Linked DNA regions of Schizosaccharomyces pombe. The gene in region 3 interacts genetically with the main gene of each other region. Each region holds a gene or a part of one and is shown on either strand. Other genes may lie near its edges.

Region 1 (5,505 bases), on a different chromosome or scaffold from region 3:
AAGCCACCTTGTCAACGAATAATTGGTACAACAGTTGGCGAAGAAGGACTTCCTCGTAAAATAAAATTAACAATAGATGTCATATCTGGGCAACAACTTAGAAGAGCTAGAGAACTTTCTAATTCTGAAACTCTCAGCCCTTATGTTGAGATCCAAGTTCATTCAATGGAAGAATCTCCTTTTCGTTGGTGTTCCAAAGTTGTGCACGAAAATGGATTTCGACCTTTTTGGGGAGAAACCATGGTTTATGAGAGTATAATTAGTGATGACTTTTATTCCATGATCCGATTTCTCGTCCATCATCGAGGAAGTAATGGAAATGACTCTATATTTGCTAATTTTACTTGTCCGATTGACAGACTGCAACAAGGCTATAGACATATTCGTTTATTGGATATGCAAGGCGAAAATTTGTTATTTTCGAGTTTGTTTTTGAAAATTAAAAAAGAAGACATTTAGAACGCTGTGTCCATTACAGCACTTTCACCGTAATGAAACTTCAGAAAATCTAAAATGCATATTATACGTTAAAAGGGAGAGAACCGAAGTAGTCTGAGAATGTTTAGAGTGTATGAAGCGTTTTTTTATTTTTATTTTTTTTTTTTAAAAAAAAAAACGCTATACAAAAACATTCATGTTTATAAATATGGGTTTGGGATAAAACTTTCAATAAAAAGTCATAATAATATCCACAAAGCGGAAGCTCAATGATTTGTACGCAGACGATGATTGCAATAATTTATTTAGAAGCTGACATTATTTACAAAATCGTTTAAGCTTTTTACAGCTGCATCACTACGTAGACCTTCTCGGTATATATCCGTTCTAATTTTTTCCCAAAAATGTACTTGTTGAGCGTATTGTTGTTCGACATTCAATAAACTCTGGGATGAATTCTCGCACGCAGACTTGCAGCTTTGAAGTTTACTTGACAAACTCGAGTCTGGAAGATTAATCTTCGGCAATTCTACATTCGTATCCGTAGAAGCTGCCCCAAAAGACGCTCTTGTTGAATTATTGCTAGGGACTCTATAATGATAGGGAGAATTGTGTTCCTTGGAATTTGTAGATGAAGAGGGTGAATCATAACTAGATCTGGGTGTTTTTGTTCTTTGATGGTAGGATTGTCGGCTCCTATAACTAGATTCATAAAAACTGTTTTGATCAACGTTTGATTTCAAAGGACTACGATACTGGTGGTCGTTTCCATCATAGTGGTAGTCATTTCTTCTGCTGCTCATTAAAGTGAATAATTAAGTGCTGATATTAATGGTTCTTTTTTTTCACGAAAAATGTACACTATCTAATTAAAACAATTGGTTAAAGAACCGAAAAATAGTAATACTTAATTCAATTAAAATCACGGTGTGAGAAAACGGTTTGAGGTAAGACTATTTTACGTACCGCGTTATATAAAGCCCTTCGCCCATATCGATGTTTGTTTGTTGTTTAATATATTAAGTCTAATGATATGGGCAATACTACGTTGAAAAGCTAAAATCGTTTAGCAGGAATGAAATAATATTATATTTATATTTTTTTATTTGAGAAATGTCCGCCTGCTGTTAAAAAATTCCATGCGAATGTTAGGTTTGTCTGTTGTCTTAAACGAAATGGGGTGACCTTAGGAAAGTATTATTACTTAGTTTTAAGCCAAATAATATGTAGCATAAATTGTAGTTGATTACAAATGTTATCTGCTTCTATCTCCTATATATATTGTTTGCCAATTGTTCCATCGATGTTAATCATTTTTCTTTCCAAGACTCCGCAGGATGTGTGTTCAAGGTCTTAATAGCATCTCCAAATATGGGCAGCATTACTTAATAGTTAAAAAAGGTTCTTTACAAAGACTTGGAAAGCTAATTTATTAGTACGAGGTCTTGCTTATAACAACTTTACTGCATTCCCTCCACACTTTACTTGATACACAGATGTACTAAACACAATCCAGCTAACCCACAAAGTTTGAGTGTTATTTAATTTGCGCCTTTTTTTGGATCCTTTATATATTGTAAAACTAAGTTCTTAGATAATTATATTTTACTACTGTTAAAACATTCTATTTCAAAATGGAAGTAACTGTTTCAAACCTCTCTTACACGTTTTCTCCAAAGCAGCCTTTAAGTCTTGATCACGTAACTTTAGATCTTCCTAAAGGATCAAGGACTTTACTTGTTGGAGCCAATGGAGCTGGTAAGTTTCGCGGTGTTATGGAAATTGATGAAGAATATTTAAATGCTAACTGATGTCCTCTTGGAATTTTGTTAAACAGGAAAATCAACTTTACTTAAACTTTTATCTGGAAAATCGCTTGCGAAAGCAGGACATATATCGGTGGGTGGTAAAGATCCTTTTCGTGAGTCTAGTTCTGCATTTGTTTATTTAGGAACTGGTAAGTTCTTTTAACATCAAATTTTACTGATGTGTGCGTTTGTAGAATGGGTTAACAACCCTGTTATACATAGGGATATGAGTGTTGCACGATTAATTGCTTCTGTTGGAGGAGATAAATTTGCCGAACGTAGGGATTTCTTGATTTCAATTCTTGATATAGATCTTCGTTGGCGAATGCATGCAGTGTCCGATGGTGAAAGACGACGTGTTCAACTATGTATGGGACTTCTGCGTCCATTTGAAGTACTTTTACTTGATGAAGTAACTGTAGATTTGGATGTTCTTGCCCGGGCAGATTTGTTAAATTTTTTGCAAGAGGAAACGGAAGTAAGGAATGCTACTATTGTTTATGCAACACATATATTTGATGGTTTAGCTGAGTGGCCAACTCACTTGGTCCATCTCAGTCTTGGGCGTATCGTGGATTATGGACCAATATCCAAGTTTGGTGCTCTGATGACAAGGTCCTCTACGGGAAATAGCGCCCTTCTAGAGACATGTTTGGAATGGCTCAAAGAAGACAAAAAAAATAGGGGAACTCGAGAAGAGGAAAAGCGTAGTACCTGGGACGACGTTCAAGAATCATTAAAAGTTGGAACTGATGTATTTACTGATTACTTTAAGATTTCCCGAGCAAAATAGATTACTAGAAAAGTTATCCTTTAGATGCTTAATTCTATCTTTAACAAGCATTACAGTCTTACTAGAATTAATAATTATACCTTTTATTAATTATAATTTCATTATAATTTGTTTAAGTCATTTAATTGTCATTAAAAGTCATTAACATTTCAAACATCATTATCTCTTAAGTTCATTGTTATTCTCCAGCTGCTTAAGCATGCATTCAGCTTTAAGGACGACTGTTTGTCTCTTTTTATTTGAGCCTTCTAGAGTTTGTTTATCATTTTCATAATTCATTAGAGTTTCGATTGTTTGTTTCGATGATTCAGTGCAATCGGTTTTGTTGCTTAAAGAATCATCACACAAACCTTTCTGTAGCTGAGATATTAAATTTTCCATTGTTGCTGAAACTTCCTCATTCTTTGAAGAACCACTATTTTCTGCATTATTGCTTTTAACAGATGCTTTTAAAGCTTGTAGTCTTAGAAAAGCAAGTTCTTCTTCCTTCTCCATCTTCTGATTTACAGTGCTAGCCTTTTTGTACTCCAGTATTATTTCGTTTAAATTATTGAAAAACCTAGCACTCGATGTAGGTTCATCTGGATTTTCACCATACATTAAGAGAGTTGTTTTAAGGGTTGTTTTTAGTTCAGTAATATCAGAATTAAGTTCATCCACCATTGATTTTCCTGATGGAATCCATGGAACCATGACTTCACAGATATGGTCATCAGGATGAAGAGCTTTATGATTCGAAAAAATGCCTTCATTGCTAAAGTCCTTTTCAACATTTTTCATCCGTTCACAAATATCATTACAATCCTGCTCCAACTGCTCCAAATTAAATCTGGAAATCTCGGGAATGGCTTTCAAATCCACGAGAAAAGCTTCCAATTGTGGAAAGTGAGTCCGAACTATTTTTTCAATAGTATGAAGAAGTGTTAATCCTGTTTTGTCATTTTTAATCATGGAAGCTCTTAGTAAACTTTCCAATCGATACCCTTTAGCTCGACGGGGTGCATCATTCATAAAATTGCCAATATGAAGGACCAAATTTAAAAAATACTTGAAATGCAAACTAGATTTCAACTCTAAAGAAGCACAATGAAGTTTCCTTATTTGTCTTCTAAAATCCCTAAAGTTGTTGGCCAGAAACGATTTGATTTTTAAAGCTGCCATTCTTTTTTCGTAATAAGTATCAATGTCAACAACAATTAACGTATAAATTTGATCGAAACGAGACAATTCTAAAAGCTTTTCACTTACTTCCATTACCTCTTCGTTTCGAGATGACATATAAGGCTTTAGTTGCTTTTTAAGACCTTCTTGTCGAAAAAACTTTCGGTCATTAAAAAAATCGACTAGTTCCATGATATCATGGTCGCAATGAAAAAATTTTTTGGCAATTTCAATTGGTGTCAAGGAATTGAATCTATGCAAACGAATACTAACCATTTGCTGTAAATCAACTGGCATAAATCCGGTATATTCCTTAACTTTTTTATTGGAAACTGTTACTTCTCTCAATGGATAACAATCTTCGAGTTGCTTAAAAATCCCTTCCGCAGTAAGTTTTAAAGTTAATAAATAAGGATCTGCAACTACAATATTCCATAGAGTTTTTTCGAAAGGAACTTCGAGGCGTTTCCAATGAAGCTGCTTTAGCCGTTTAGAAGGATTGCATAGCTCACCAGGAATTTTGCTTGCATACACTTCAGACTCTGAACCTGAACAGAATTTAAATATGTCATCGATTGAAATATTTTCGGGAATAATTATCGTCTTCCGAAAAATTTGTGAATCATTTTTTTCAAATTTCTGGAGAGAAGACATTGCAGTTGGTAAAGGAGGTGCAGGAGGTGGTAATGGTGCAGGAGGTGGAGCTTTGAATGGATTCCCATCAATAACTTCTTTGATTCTCATATTTTCTATTTTAGAAAACCTCTTGGTATCAGTTATGGAAAATCGGCCATAGTACGACTTTCGATAGTCTAAGGGAAGATCACTAACAACATCAATCCTTTTTGGATTAAAAACCTTGTGTTTTGAAGTTTCCATTTTTTCTGCTAAGTTAGCACTTTTTATTTGTGTTCCTGGCATACTCAGATGAACCTCAAAAGAATGCGTTGAAACAGCGGAAGATGGCTCGGATTTTAAAGTGATTGAGTTTGCTTTAGCTAGATCTAATTTGCAAAGTTTTAATTTTTCATCCTGATTTGGTTGAAAAAGCAGTTTAGGTTTTATCCTTGGTGAAGCAAAAGCACTAACGCTAGAGGTAGTGTTCACGGGTTGAACCCAATCTCTGTTTCCATTTCCATTCACATTGTTTTTAGAAATTAAATACTCTTGGTCACGATCTTGCAGTTTACTACTTGATCGGTTCAATAATCGAAGAATTTTGGTATCTTCGGAAATGTATGAATCGCGCGTACGCGTCAGTAAGTGCTTTAGTTTACTAAAAATTTTTTCGGCTGAAAAGGAAGA
Region 2 (4,891 bases), on a different chromosome or scaffold from region 3:
AGCTTAAAAATAACCCTTGGAACAAAAACGAACATTATAAAAATTAAGCAAAAAGTATTTTTATACCACGTTACCTTTTTACTGCCTCTCCCTGACTTTATCGGCTTAGCGAAATGGAGTGAAGTTACCATATATAAACCTGAATAGTATTAAGATATACCTACACTGTATTGGTGATATAGCTTGCAAAGATAAGAATATAAAATTATTGTTGAATGTAAACTTCTCTAATCCAGTGAAGTGATTTTCTATAGCGTTTAGAAATTGCGTTTTCCCCAAAAGTCAATATGGCAATCTGTCGGGTGAAATTGAATTCCCCCACGATGCTGTTTAAATCAATTTATAATTTTTATCGAGTATTGTTGAATTATGGGGGGGTTCTTTCTTACATTTTAATTTATACTATCATAATATATACACTTTGGATTGAAAAAAAACTCTCTTACTGACTACTATTTACTTCTTGTCAACTTATGCGGTGCACCCCACTATACTTCGCTACGACCTATAGCTTAAATTACGCTAGGTTAGTCGGAATCTTAAGGTCGTTGCAGAGACGCGACACATATACTTCCCCATTCATTAATTGCAGGAATTTTGATTTACAATTGATTTCGCTTGTTTTGAATTAGGTTCGGAAACTTTGATAAACATTTGGTATTCTTCTTGTTGCTTTCTTGGTCATTCACCCATTTTATCTGATTGAACCCCAATTGCTGCATTTGTAAGCCTCTTTAGCAGCCAAGGCAATTTTAAAATTTCCCTTTATTCATCATATACTTTATTTGAGAAATGGATACTCTACCTCCCGCGACATCTGAGGAATCATTTGAAATCCCAAACGCCGACGTAGCTGGTTCGGCAGTTTTAGAAACGGAAACTTCTCAGGATATACACCAACTTGAGATTGAGAAAGATGCTGGGGAGACAGACTCTGACGCAGGGTCTATTGCTATGAATGTACACCAGCTTGACACTGCGGGGGAACCTTTGCAGTCGATGAACGAAGATGAAGTCGACCCGAACAATGAATCTACTGCTCTCGATAAGAAAGAGCCGCAAAGCGCTCCTGAAGGATCCGAAAATCTAGGCAATGATTTATTTGTTAGTGGAATTGCTTCCAGAATGCAAGAGGACGAGCTTCAGCAAATCTTCTCCAAGTTTGGTACTGTTACTCATGTGAGAATCATGAGAGAACCAGTTACAAAAGCTTCAAGGGGTTTTGGGTTCTTATCATTTTCAACTGTTGAGGAAGCAACCTCAGCTATTGACAATTTGAACTCTCAGGAATTTTACGGACGAGTACTTAACGTTCAGAAAGCCAAGCGATCTCGCCCTCATTCTCCAACTCCAGGAAAATATATGGGCTATGATAGAAGAAGAAATTCCAGGGATTTTCCAAGCAACAATAAAGATGGGGGATATCGTAGAAATAATTATCGTGACCGCGATTCTAATAGATATCGAAACTCTTATCGTCCATCTAGGCCTCAACGAGAACATTCTCCCGGAAATTACCGCAAAGAAAGATACAACGTTGATTCAAGACCGAGAAGAGAGCGACATTTCCATGGAAGGTCCTTTGCTCATGCAGAGCATCATTCTGTTCCTAACATGCGCAATGATACCCCAGGTAATGAAGCCTTACCTTCACACTCTTCGGTGCCTCCAAACGAAGATCAATAATTAACAATTTGCTTAATATAACCTTTTTATCATATATCGCTACTCTTTTTGAGTTTCCTTTGCTTACTTTCATTTAATGAAAACCTTTTATAGTTAACAGTTTATGATTCGTTATACCTTAGGTTCGTTTACTTTTCTTCCTTGTATAAACGGTCTATTGCTTATTATATTAAATTTTCCCTGAAAGCTATCATGTACCAATTTCCAAAAGGTGTGTGTGTTTTCCACGTGTTTATACTACTAATTTTTTCTCGTCTTTCTTTACTTTAGGGATTAAATCTTGTGTAAATGCGTGTTATCCAGGGTTTACTCTGTTGGGGAACTAAACAATCACGAGTTGCGTTTTTTTATGTTTTTTTTAAAGGATCTCAGACGCTATCATGGTCCTCTTATGACTTTTGTGGCTTCACTGCAAGTTCTACTTTTTTCTTTACGTCTTCAAAGCCGTTTCATACAAATTTATTATAAAAAATTTCATTTTTCGGTGCTGTTATTGGTGCTTTTGTATGCATGAAATATAGAGGATATAAACTTGGGTTTTTGAAATGAGCAAGGTCGGGTTGCTATTTTTAAGGCCTTATTACCTTTTTTTGTTTGTCATCATTCTTATTTTTTTTAAAAAATTCATTTCATGTTCTTTATGTTTTGTTATTTTTCATCGTTGAAGTTTAGAATAATGCTCAAAGAAGATCTTTGATACATGTGCCTGCATTCCTTTTGTTATCATTATTAATTTTATGAATTTAGTTTAATTTCTTCCTTTTTTATAGGATCATGAAATGCAATATACGATAGTTTTTCTTTGAATAAAACTACAATATACAAATTGGCTAAACATTCGTACGGCAATCGTTCATTTCTATTGTTTCAGAAACTGTTTGCAAAAGTTTCTATAATGCTTCAGTTGGGCTTGCCATCTCATCCAACCGCTTGCAATCAAAGCAGAATCTGCCATATCGTCCTTTTTAAATTCAACCCTAGAACCGTTGTTCCATTTATACAGAGCTTCTTCATTTTCAAATAGGATTTTTTGACCATCTATTAATTCCTTGACCATTTGTACTCTACTCTTCTTCTTTGAAAAAGATGCTTTCGTATTCAAAACTGATGCCCAATACGAGTATGTAGATTTTGGGGACAGAGAAAGAAGGAAAGGATATTGTATTTTCTGTTCGATTGAATTTCTTTTTTCTGCGTAGTGTAACGCATACAGCATGCTTTCAAGCATATTTACTCGTAGCGTCCACTCTGGAATCGTAGCAATACCGGAACGATAACGCTGGCGTTCCATAAGAATGACATGCGGATTGAATTTTTCGTGTAATGTATTAAACAGTTGTATTGAAAGATCAGCCATGGAGCTAGGCTGGAAGTCTTCGGTCCATTGTATATCAAGCCCATTTTTTTCAGTTAGATTTTCAACAGACCAATTGTGGATAATAACTTTAGAATCTTCATTTTGACTTGCAAAGCAGTAAGAGAAATTTTTGATTCCCAAGTCAATACCAAGTACCCGAGAGGTGGGATAAATAGGAGAGTCAACAATTCTTCGAAGCAACTCATCCTTTCTTCCACTTCTTGACAATCCAGTTAACTTACAGATGTGCTGTAAAAAACTAAGTTTCACAGTAGCCATTCTGTAAAAAAGAATAAATTGACATAAAGAAACGGATATGAAGTTGTAAACCTATAGCAATGATTATGTTTTTTTTTTTTGCAAAAACAAGGAAACGAGGCAGTAAGAATTGAGTTTATTCAAATAAGAAAAAATGATTATTTCTCTTAAAATGAATTGTTTTTAGAAGTGAACAGTTTTAGATGCTAGATGCAAACGTGAAAGATAGTATATGGTAATACAAAAAACGAAGGATTGGTAAATGGGAGTCCGGGAATTTTTATTTCACTTACGAGTAGAAACATGTAATTTTTTTTCTTTTATTCCATAAGCTTGCGATGTTTGAAGTCGTTGACAACGTCTTGCTTAGTTCAAACTGCTAGTCACCTGGGAATTATCTGAATAAATAAGCATTAAAATATGAACAAAGATTGGCGAGTCCAAGTTTATGTGAAATATCAACAACGATATACGTCGATTCATAGGAGGTTTGAACTCATCAACCTAAAGTTAGAAATACATGGCAAAAGAAATTTATCACAGATTGTTAATATGTTTGCAATCAGACATTGACTTAAATCAATTCTTAAGACTTGTTTGTAAGTGAGCAAGTTTATTATTGTTTTATGAATGATCGAGGTTGTGTAAAATGGCACAGTTTGTATTTGAAAGCTAATTTGGAATCCACAAAATTTAAGATATATAACAGAAAAGCTTTTATACAGCTGAAGTCTTCATTTAATACCCCGAATCCGTCATTGTCTTTTATTATAATACCGAGTTTCTATGCAAGTTAGGTAAAACTCCATATTTGAAGTCTTGGACATTGAAATACTTAAACTGTAACATTTGTTTTAAACTATTAGGATTAAATTTTCAAAGTTTTGATGGCACACATTGTACTATAGTTAGCAAGTATATAGAACGGCGATGGTTGACAAAAATGAACTACAAATGTAACCACGGAATGAACGTGAAGGTTTATCGGATTTTGATTTTAACGCTGTTTAATTTGTATTCAGCTACCTTTAACATTAATGATGAATTTCTGCTATTGGATTTCTAAAACTCCTCTGAAAGCATATAGCAGACAATGTCTTACGCAAATACAAAAAATGCTTTAAGGATTTCAAAGCGTTTTCCACTGATTTTTTTCTTATGCAAAAAGCAAATCTATTACTGACTTTAAGCTTGAACTTCAATCATTCTCATTTCTATTTCGTTTCCATATTCTATTATAGAGGATCTGTCAAGTAACATGTTTTGTATTTGATTCTTTTTTTACACAAGCAGCACTAGTATGAATAAGTTTTAAGAAGAATATGACTTTGTTCCGGAATATATTAACTGACTGAAAAGTAGAGAATATACTGTTTTTAGAAAAAAAAAATTGCGAATTGTCTGACGCACTATTGTTTCAATATATGAACCGTTGTTGGGGATGAAAAATGTTCAGTAAAAACCCCAAACTTAAAACTTATTGCGCATGTAGATCTAAAGTAGTTTATTCAATTAACTATTCGACTGACTATTACAACTGGGCCATTGATATATAAAATGAGCGAATATTCTAATGGCTTTAGAATTTTC
Region 3 (7,710 bases):
GATTCTTACTATCCTCGGTTATAATTGTTGGGCAACGCGCCGTTGTTTGCTCAGGTGAACTGGAACTTAATAAGTAAATTCGGTATTGTTTTACATTTTTAGGCATATGATCAAGAACTGTAAGTAAACAGATAGCAGAAACCATTTGAATCTTACAATATTACATGATAGTACGTTCGAGCAGCACTGAATTTAACAAGTGCATCTAATAATGCTGTTACGGCGTATACAGCATCCTTGCAAATATAAGCATTGCTAAACATAACTCATTTATGTTTTATAGACATTACTTTCAAAACATCAAATTTTTCTATTTATATGCTCTTTTTAACAACCACCATACCTAAATGAATTACTATTTTAAACTTAGTATATTTTCTAGGCAGCGTATTTTTTGCGAGATAAGCAGTTAAAATTTAAACTAATACTTTAATGTAAAGCAAAATTTGTGATTCATAGAGTACAATAAAGCACTTTGGTCTCACATTAATACAATGACATACACCGACCCCAGCTGTTTGAGTGCATATAAAGCATTAAAATATAGTGATAATAATTTAACTTACAAATTTTCCACTAGCAAGACATACCTACAAATACCGGGAAAAATATCCTCTAATATTCGTTTAAAGCTGTCTTTAACAGCATAACTTAGCGCGGTTTAAATCCCTTACTTTTCGTACTTGTCATAAACCAGGCAAAGCTTCTAAGTATTTCAAACTATCCATATCTCTTGAGAATAAACAGGTGTTTTTAGATGCTAAACTATTAAGACGAACACAAAACCTGTATCTGGAATAAAAAAATATATATTTAATATAAAAGATGGCTATAGCAAAAAACAGAAAGGAGTATGTACGTTAAGGAAAATTAACAAATATCAAAGAGGTAAACAATTAAACCCATCCAGGTAACTTCATAAAACGAAAATCAAAAATCACCACCGAAACGTTCCTAAATAAAATAAATAACTCAATTTGTGAAAGTGTGGGACATATTAAAAGATGGGAGTGAACACTTTTGAACTTTAATGCATGCAGGTAATATGGCTGTGATGTACACATTTAATCGTAATCTCGTTAAAAGGAAGAACTATATGAGATTATCCAAAGTGCAAAAAAATTTATGGCGAACGTATATGTTTACCGTATTTTGATAGCACCATATTCAGAAATTGCAGGCAACTTTGTTGATCATCTCTGTCAGGTTGAGATAGAATGCAGTCCTTTAGGAGATTTATTTCTTTATCTGCAACAGAAATGGAAATAGCTTCAAGACGATACTCAAGATTTACCCAAGCCTGCGAAATTTGCTCACATGTGCTTGGCAATAAACAGTATGCTTTCAATAATGACCGATAAGTGACATGAGTAGGCTTTAACCCGTACTTGTCTATCATATCAAATCCAGCAGAAAGCCATTTTACATCCTTTAAACGACTAGCAATAGAGAACAAGGTGTTGGCAGTACTAATGGATGGTTTGAACTCCTTTACATCTGACATCTTGTTGATAAACGTAGTGATAAAGTCGGTAGCCTTTTTAATATCCCGATCTCGTTCAAATTGCTTCATTGAAAGACTTAAAATAGCATTTGTCAAACGAGTGATATCTTTGGGTGACACTGAAAGATAATAATCGAAAATAGTTAGCAAAGGATCTAGAGAATGGTGTGCTTCAAAAAGTCTTTGAAGTAACCAAACGGTTGTATAGATCGTTGGTAGATTTCTTTCGTTAAGATTAGAATTTTTCAGATAAGCAGCAGCTTGATCGACGAGACCTTTGTTGACAAACACTGAAATAATGACATCGGAGTGAAAACTTGTTAGTCCGTTAAATTGAACTAAAGCTTTATGAGCTTTACTGCTAATACCTTGATCTTTGAAAACAGTATAAATCAAATACACAGCAACCAATTCATTTACAACTTCTTTCCCTTCAAGTTGCTCGTGAATGGCTGAACCTATTTTTCCACACTGTTCAAAACTGGCACCTCCAAGTATCTTAGCTTGAAGTGCTGAGATGTAGAGGTTGCCTAAAACTCGTTCATCTTTAGGTAAAAACTCCATATGGCTTAAGCTCATATCAGCAATTAATGAAGCCTTGTCAAAAAGGTTTAGGTCGATATATGATTGGAGCATAATTCGCCAAAACCTAGCAGAGGCAATCTCTTGGTGTTCAATTGCATATCGAAGTATATCATCAAGTTTGTCGAGAGTAGCTTCATCTACATTACCTCTCCCATTGAGCATTTTAATCCGATCTACCAAAAACAAAATGTATCTATTAATGGTTTGACTATCTAAAATGCCAAATGGTTTCAGGCTGCTGAAAGTAGCAACGGTTTCCGTATACTTGCGCGCCTTCATTTCATCATTTAATTGTTTCAGCTATTTACCTGTTAGAAAAAGGTGGAAACATCAGCCTTTACATACCAAATTTTGAGAATTCTGCCTTACATGTTGTTGAGTTTCAGCGGTGAATGAAGTTTGTAACCCAGAATGTAAAGGCGGAGCGGTGAAAAGGGTACGCGTATTTTGTAAAAGTGCATCTGACACTTTAGCATTACTACTACGCAGCAATTTCCGAAAAATTTGGCTCCCAAATCCTTGCATGGTATACGCTTGGGGTAAGTTTGTTGTTGCTGAGTCATGTTGTGGCTACTCTCTACTCAGTCAGGATTGATCTAGAAAAGATCAGCAAAATGGCGTTTCCTGAATATGTTAGAACTGATTCTATTTTATTTTTCTTTTCCTATAATAGTTCAATCATGTAGTAACAAAGCAACTTAACTAAGACTCTGCTGCATGCTTAGGCACATTCTTTGCAAATTAGTTAAAACCGGCATTTACAATATTTTTAAAATTTATACAATCAGTCTAGTTTAATTTAGGTAATTTAATAGATAGGACTTCAAAATCCCTGTAAAAATATAATGAAAAGTAATTTTTTCAGTTGCATCAATTAAAGGCGTCGCTTTCATATAAATTCTCAAAGCATTTTATAAGGACTTTCAAAGGATGGCAAGTAGTGATTGAAAACCAACACTTCTTTTTAAAAGGTCTACTGGTTATCAACAAAATACATGTCTATGATGAATTAAATTTAAAATTAAAGAAAGGACAAAATGTTAATATTGAAATATAGAAATCAATAACTTTCAAAAGTATATTTTTTAACAGCGTACCCAATTATCCAAAAGATTACATATAAAACTAATTTAACAGACATTCAGTCAGAAGAAATATTCTGAAGACTAGACTTTACGGCTAGACATTTCGATTTTAGGACTGCAATGCTTTTAATGAACAAGACATCGGGCTTCATAATACCGGTGCTTTCAACAGAAAACAAATAATGATCGCGTACGCGGCCTAATTGCACCTTATCTGCAAATTCGGGATGTCTCAAGCATTCGCGGGATACGGTGTCTTTTCGAACGTCTGCTACACGGGCTTGTTTTTTACCATCAGGTCCTTCTTCAAGCTCGATGACTCCTTTAGGGAAGCATTTTTGAAATTTAACTGCATCTTCACCTTCAATAGGAGACAAGATATGTATAGTAGGCAATAAGCGGTAGGAGGCAGTAGCAACAGGAGAAAACTTAGCATGGTCTTGTCCAATACCTAAGATTGCATGAGCTTCTAAATCGATTTCCTGGCCAGGACGCAATTTTGCAACAACAATATCTGGGTTGACTACTCGTATAGGATTGTCAGCAAATCGCTCTTCCTGTCGACCTTGCGGTTTCCAAATTAGATCACCCGAATAAACCTCAGAGTTAACGTAAAGTCTCTTTGGATCTTTTTCATCTGTAGCGGCATTCTTATTAAACTCGCATTTCTTATTAAGGGAAAAGACAACAGTATCGTAATCAGTATGAGTTGCCTCTTGTCCTGGCAGAGGATGTTGAAACCATTTAAACATGTCAGGATCAGCAGATATAGGTACAAGACCTATTCTGTGAGACAAAACCTCATCTTGTATTATGCTCGTATTGTTTATGATATACACGAACTCAAATGCAAGAGTTGGGATCTCGGCGATTAAAATCCTCCTAAATGCATTTGCAATGGATGCATCAATTCCAGAAATTTCAAATACCATTGTTTCTTGATCGAGAGACGTAATCGAAACTTTTAAATTTTTTTTAAATTTATCAAGATCCCAGATGTTGTCTTCATCAAAATAATAACCTGGAAAATCTACACTTCCTACATCTGTAACACGATCAGAAAGGACAGAGATTTCTGTCCTTGATCTGTCAACCGCTGCCATTTTTAATTTTATGAAAAAAACGGTGAGAAGTTGCAATATAAACTTTTAAAACCTTTATATGCGTAAAAATTCGCTATTGTGTGGTAAACACGATAGTGCGAATAAAAGTAAGACATTGCAAATTAACTGACAATAGTAGTAGAGCACTTGAAGAAGCGTAAATAGCATTTTTTTAGCGATTCAAGTTTGCCAAACATTCATTTTTTTTTTTTAGACTGTATTTATAACGCTAAATACGAAATGGACGACAAAGAATTGTTTGATCGGTCTATATTTGAAGAAACTAATCAGTTACATTTGTATGATCAATTGAATTATTTAAAAAAGAATGACCTGCAAAAGTTTAGGAAACTTTTAAATCAAGTTCAGCAATTGGACTTACGGTCATTGTGGTTGAAGTATCGAAATGCTAAAGCGACAAGCCAAGAGAACAGAAAATTGTCCCCTTCAGAAGTTGGTCCACTATCTATTGTAGATACGTCTGACTCAAGTTGGTGGAGAACAGGTCTTCGGGAAATTGCTAGAGGTCATGTAGCTGCCTTAGTATTGGCAGGAGGTCAAGGCACTCGACTTGGGTTTGCTGGTCCAAAAGGTTGCTTTAGACTTGGGCTGCCTAATAATCCGAGCATCTTTGAGCTGCAGGCACAAAAAATTAAGAAATCGTTGGCGCTCGCCAGAGCCGCATTTCCCGATCAAGAAGCCTCTATAAGCATTCCATGGTATATAATGGTTTCTGAATGTACGTCAGAGGAGACAATTTCTTTTTTTAAGGAGAATGATTTCTTTGGTATTGATAAGAAAGACGTTTTTTTCTTCCAGCAAGGAGTTTTACCTTGTCTAGATATCTCAGGTAGGGTCCTTTTTGAATCTGATTCTTCATTAGCTTGGGCTCCTAACGGCAATGGAGGTATTTATGAAGCTTTGCTTTCCTCTGGTGCATTGAATGATATGAATAGAAGAGGTATACTCCATATTACGGCTTATAGCGTTGACAATGTTCTTGTTTTGCCGGTTGATCCTGTATTCATAGGAATGGCTACTACTAAAAAACTTGAGGTTGCCACTAAAACTGTTGAAAAAATCGATCCTGCTGAAAAAGTGGGTCTCCTTGTATCTTCCCATAATCATCCTTGTGTTGTAGAGTACTCTGAAATTTCTGACGAAGCATGCAAAGCTACAGAAAATGTTGATGGTCACAAGCATTTGCTGCTTCGTGCGGCTAACATTGCATACCATTATTTCTCTTTTGATTTCTTACAGAAAGCTTCTTTGCACTCAAGTACCCTTCCTATTCACCTTGCATGCAAGAAAATTCCATTTTACGACGTAACGTCTCATCATTATACTACACCTTTAAATCCCAATGGATATAAACTTGAGAGTTTTATTTTCGATTTGTTTCCCAGTGTGTCAGTTGAAAATTTTGGATGTTTCCAGGTACCACGTAGGACTTCATTTAGTCCTCTAAAAAATTCAAGTAAATCTCCCAATGACAACCATGAAACTTGTGTAAACGATATTTTGAGTTTAGGTAAAAGCTGGATTTTAAAGAATGGTGGTATCTTAAGTCCAAGCGACTGCACCTATGTTTCCCCAGAATGTAGTTTACAAGGAGAATCACTCGAGTGGATTAAAGGGAAGCAGGTTAGCAATTGTAAACTTTACTAGTTTCCTCTCCTATATTCAACTATTTTTAAAGGTTTATATAAACAATGTAACAAAGTCAATGTGATAAATTTATTTACTTTCATTTTATATTGTACAATAATCGTCGAAGCACTAATTGCTGTTCTTAATCAGCAAATCAACATTCAGGATTTCAATTACGGTTTTACTTCGATTGTTAATATATTAATTTAATAAATTAATTGACCGTGCGTTTATTGAATTTATTAGTGACTGAAAATTTTCTAAATCATCTTCCACCTAATTCGCTTTCGTTCATTTTAAAATAACCCTGACTTTTAATATATCGTTGTTTAATCATGATGTTGCATTATTACTCCTTTCTTTTCAAGCTAAATACTCTCAAATTTTAGTATGCTTTTTACTAAATTACCTGACTAACGGAATAATGAGGTGTAACAACCATATCACTGCTAAAGCTCAAAAATTTAACGAACTACATTGCATCCTATGTCGAGCTCACTAGACATTGCCTTTATGCCGTTTAGCCTCGTCACTATATACATCTTCTTTGCATCTTTTTGTATCAACTAGATGATTCGTACTATTCAAAGGCAGAGCGCTACAAGGTTTTCTTCAGCTTTGGTTCAGAGGAGATTATACTCTTTGGCTTCTGATTCTCTCAATAAACAACGGAAACCACAAGAAGAAGGGCGCCTGGCACGAATTTTCAAAGATCCGTCTAACAAAGCTTGGAAGGATTTGACGGCTCCTCAAAAAGCATACAGAACTTCTGCTAATATTGGAAATTTTTCGATTGTGATATTTGGAGGCGGCGTTTTCGGATTGATTATATATGCACTTGTCACTAGTATCTGGAAGGGCGAGGCACATTACGGTGATGAAGCTTTTGAACTTTTAAAGGCTAATGAAGAATGTCGATATGTTTTTGGAGATCACATGAAAGCCCTAGGTGAAGCCACGCATCCTCTTCGTCGAACTCATGGTATATTGACTAGTCGTGTGTGGGATCACCATGGTGTAGAACATCTAGTACTACAATTTCACTTAATCGGTAATGAGAGAAAAGGGCACGTATTTGGAAGACTTGTAAATGTTCAAGGTGACTATAAATGGGAATATCTTTTCGTTGATGTTGCAAATTACGGAAAAATCATAATTTTTGATCATACCAATTCTGTACGACAACAACATAAGAATTTTGGTTTATGGGGAAGCTTAAAAAATATTACATGGGGAAATTAGAATTTCCGAATGATAAACGCACGACGGAAAGGTATAGCTGTTAATTTCAACCGAAAAGGAAATCATTGAATTATTTCTCGATTTTAATGGTTTGATTAATGGTTTTTCGCAGAGAATTAATTTTCTAATTTACGAATTAATTTACAGGCGATGTTAATGATTTTTATCAGAATTAGCACACTTAGTTATGCAGTATTTGGATGTATATTGCAAAAAATAAAAAAATCGTCGACACTTTATTACTAATTAAGCGATCGAACCTCATGATTTGTTGTTTAATTAGTTAGTATAAAGAAGCGAATTTGTACGAGGGGCCTTTTCGCAGGGGCTGATTAATCGCCAATCTAATGTACTACCTAAATGTGTTTAGTTATAAAAAATATAAGAATGATTCAAAGCACATGAAATAATTTTGATTATTAGATATAAAGTACAAGATGTAGGCCGGTATTTATAACCGAGTACACTAATCCATATCCAACTAGCAATTAATTATATATTAAATTTTTATAATGACAAAACGCAACGCATTCAAAAAAGA

What was found. Genes that interact genetically often act in the same process or in processes that back each other up.
Region 1: mutations in ppr8 (region 3) and caf16 together harm fitness less than expected from each alone (positive genetic interaction), as found in Schizosaccharomyces pombe (one large-scale study listed by BioGRID).
Region 2: mutations in ppr8 (region 3) and cce1 together harm fitness more than expected from each alone (negative genetic interaction), as found in Schizosaccharomyces pombe (one large-scale study listed by BioGRID).

The regions. Positions count from the first base shown.
Region 1 is NC_003424.3:4,810,027-4,815,531, forward strand, and holds caf16 (CCR4-Not complex subunit Caf16), read left to right. Parts: upstream 1-1,941; 5' UTR 1,942-2,072; coding exon 2,073-2,196; exon of another isoform or gene 2,197-2,275; coding exon 2,276-2,395; exon of another isoform or gene 2,396-2,440; coding exon 2,441-3,039; 3' UTR 3,040-3,153; downstream 3,154-5,505. Other genes in the region: phosphoinositide phospholipase C Plc1, read left to right, coding at 1-459; histone H2B-K119 ubiquitin ligase complex (HULC) subunit Shf1, read right to left, coding at 744-1,241; formin Fus1, read right to left, coding at 3,199-5,505.
Region 2 is NC_003424.3:4,294,584-4,299,474, forward strand, and holds cce1 (cruciform cutting endonuclease Cce1), read right to left. Parts: upstream 3,323-4,891; coding exon 2,546-3,322; 3' UTR 2,353-2,545; downstream 1-2,352. Other genes in the region: SPOM_SPAC25G10.01 (mRNA splicing or mRNA surveillance facor), read left to right, coding at 793-1,686. UniProt on the Schizosaccharomyces pombe protein: Capable of resolving Holliday junctions. Specific for 4-way junctions. Seems to be important for the maintenance of mitochondrial DNA. Cleaves fixed junctions at the point of strand exchange. Cleaves after 5'-CT-3' and 5'-TT-3' sequences.
Region 3 is NC_003423.3:4,392,823-4,400,532, forward strand, and holds ppr8 (PPR repeat-containing protein Ppr8), read right to left. Parts: upstream 2,626-7,710; 5' UTR 2,615-2,625; coding exon 2,435-2,614; intron 2,390-2,434; coding exon 1,124-2,389; 3' UTR 788-1,123; downstream 1-787. Other genes in the region: DNA-directed RNA polymerase I and III subunit Rpc40, read right to left, coding at 3,231-4,277; uap1 (UDP-N-acetylglucosamine diphosphorylase Uap1/Qri1(predicted)), read left to right, coding at 4,518-5,945; TIM23 translocase complex subunit Tim21, read left to right, coding at 6,498-7,169. UniProt on the Schizosaccharomyces pombe protein: Mitochondrial RNA-binding protein involved in mitochondrial translation. The cox1 mRNA is one target but it is not clear if ppr8 has a single or multiple targets.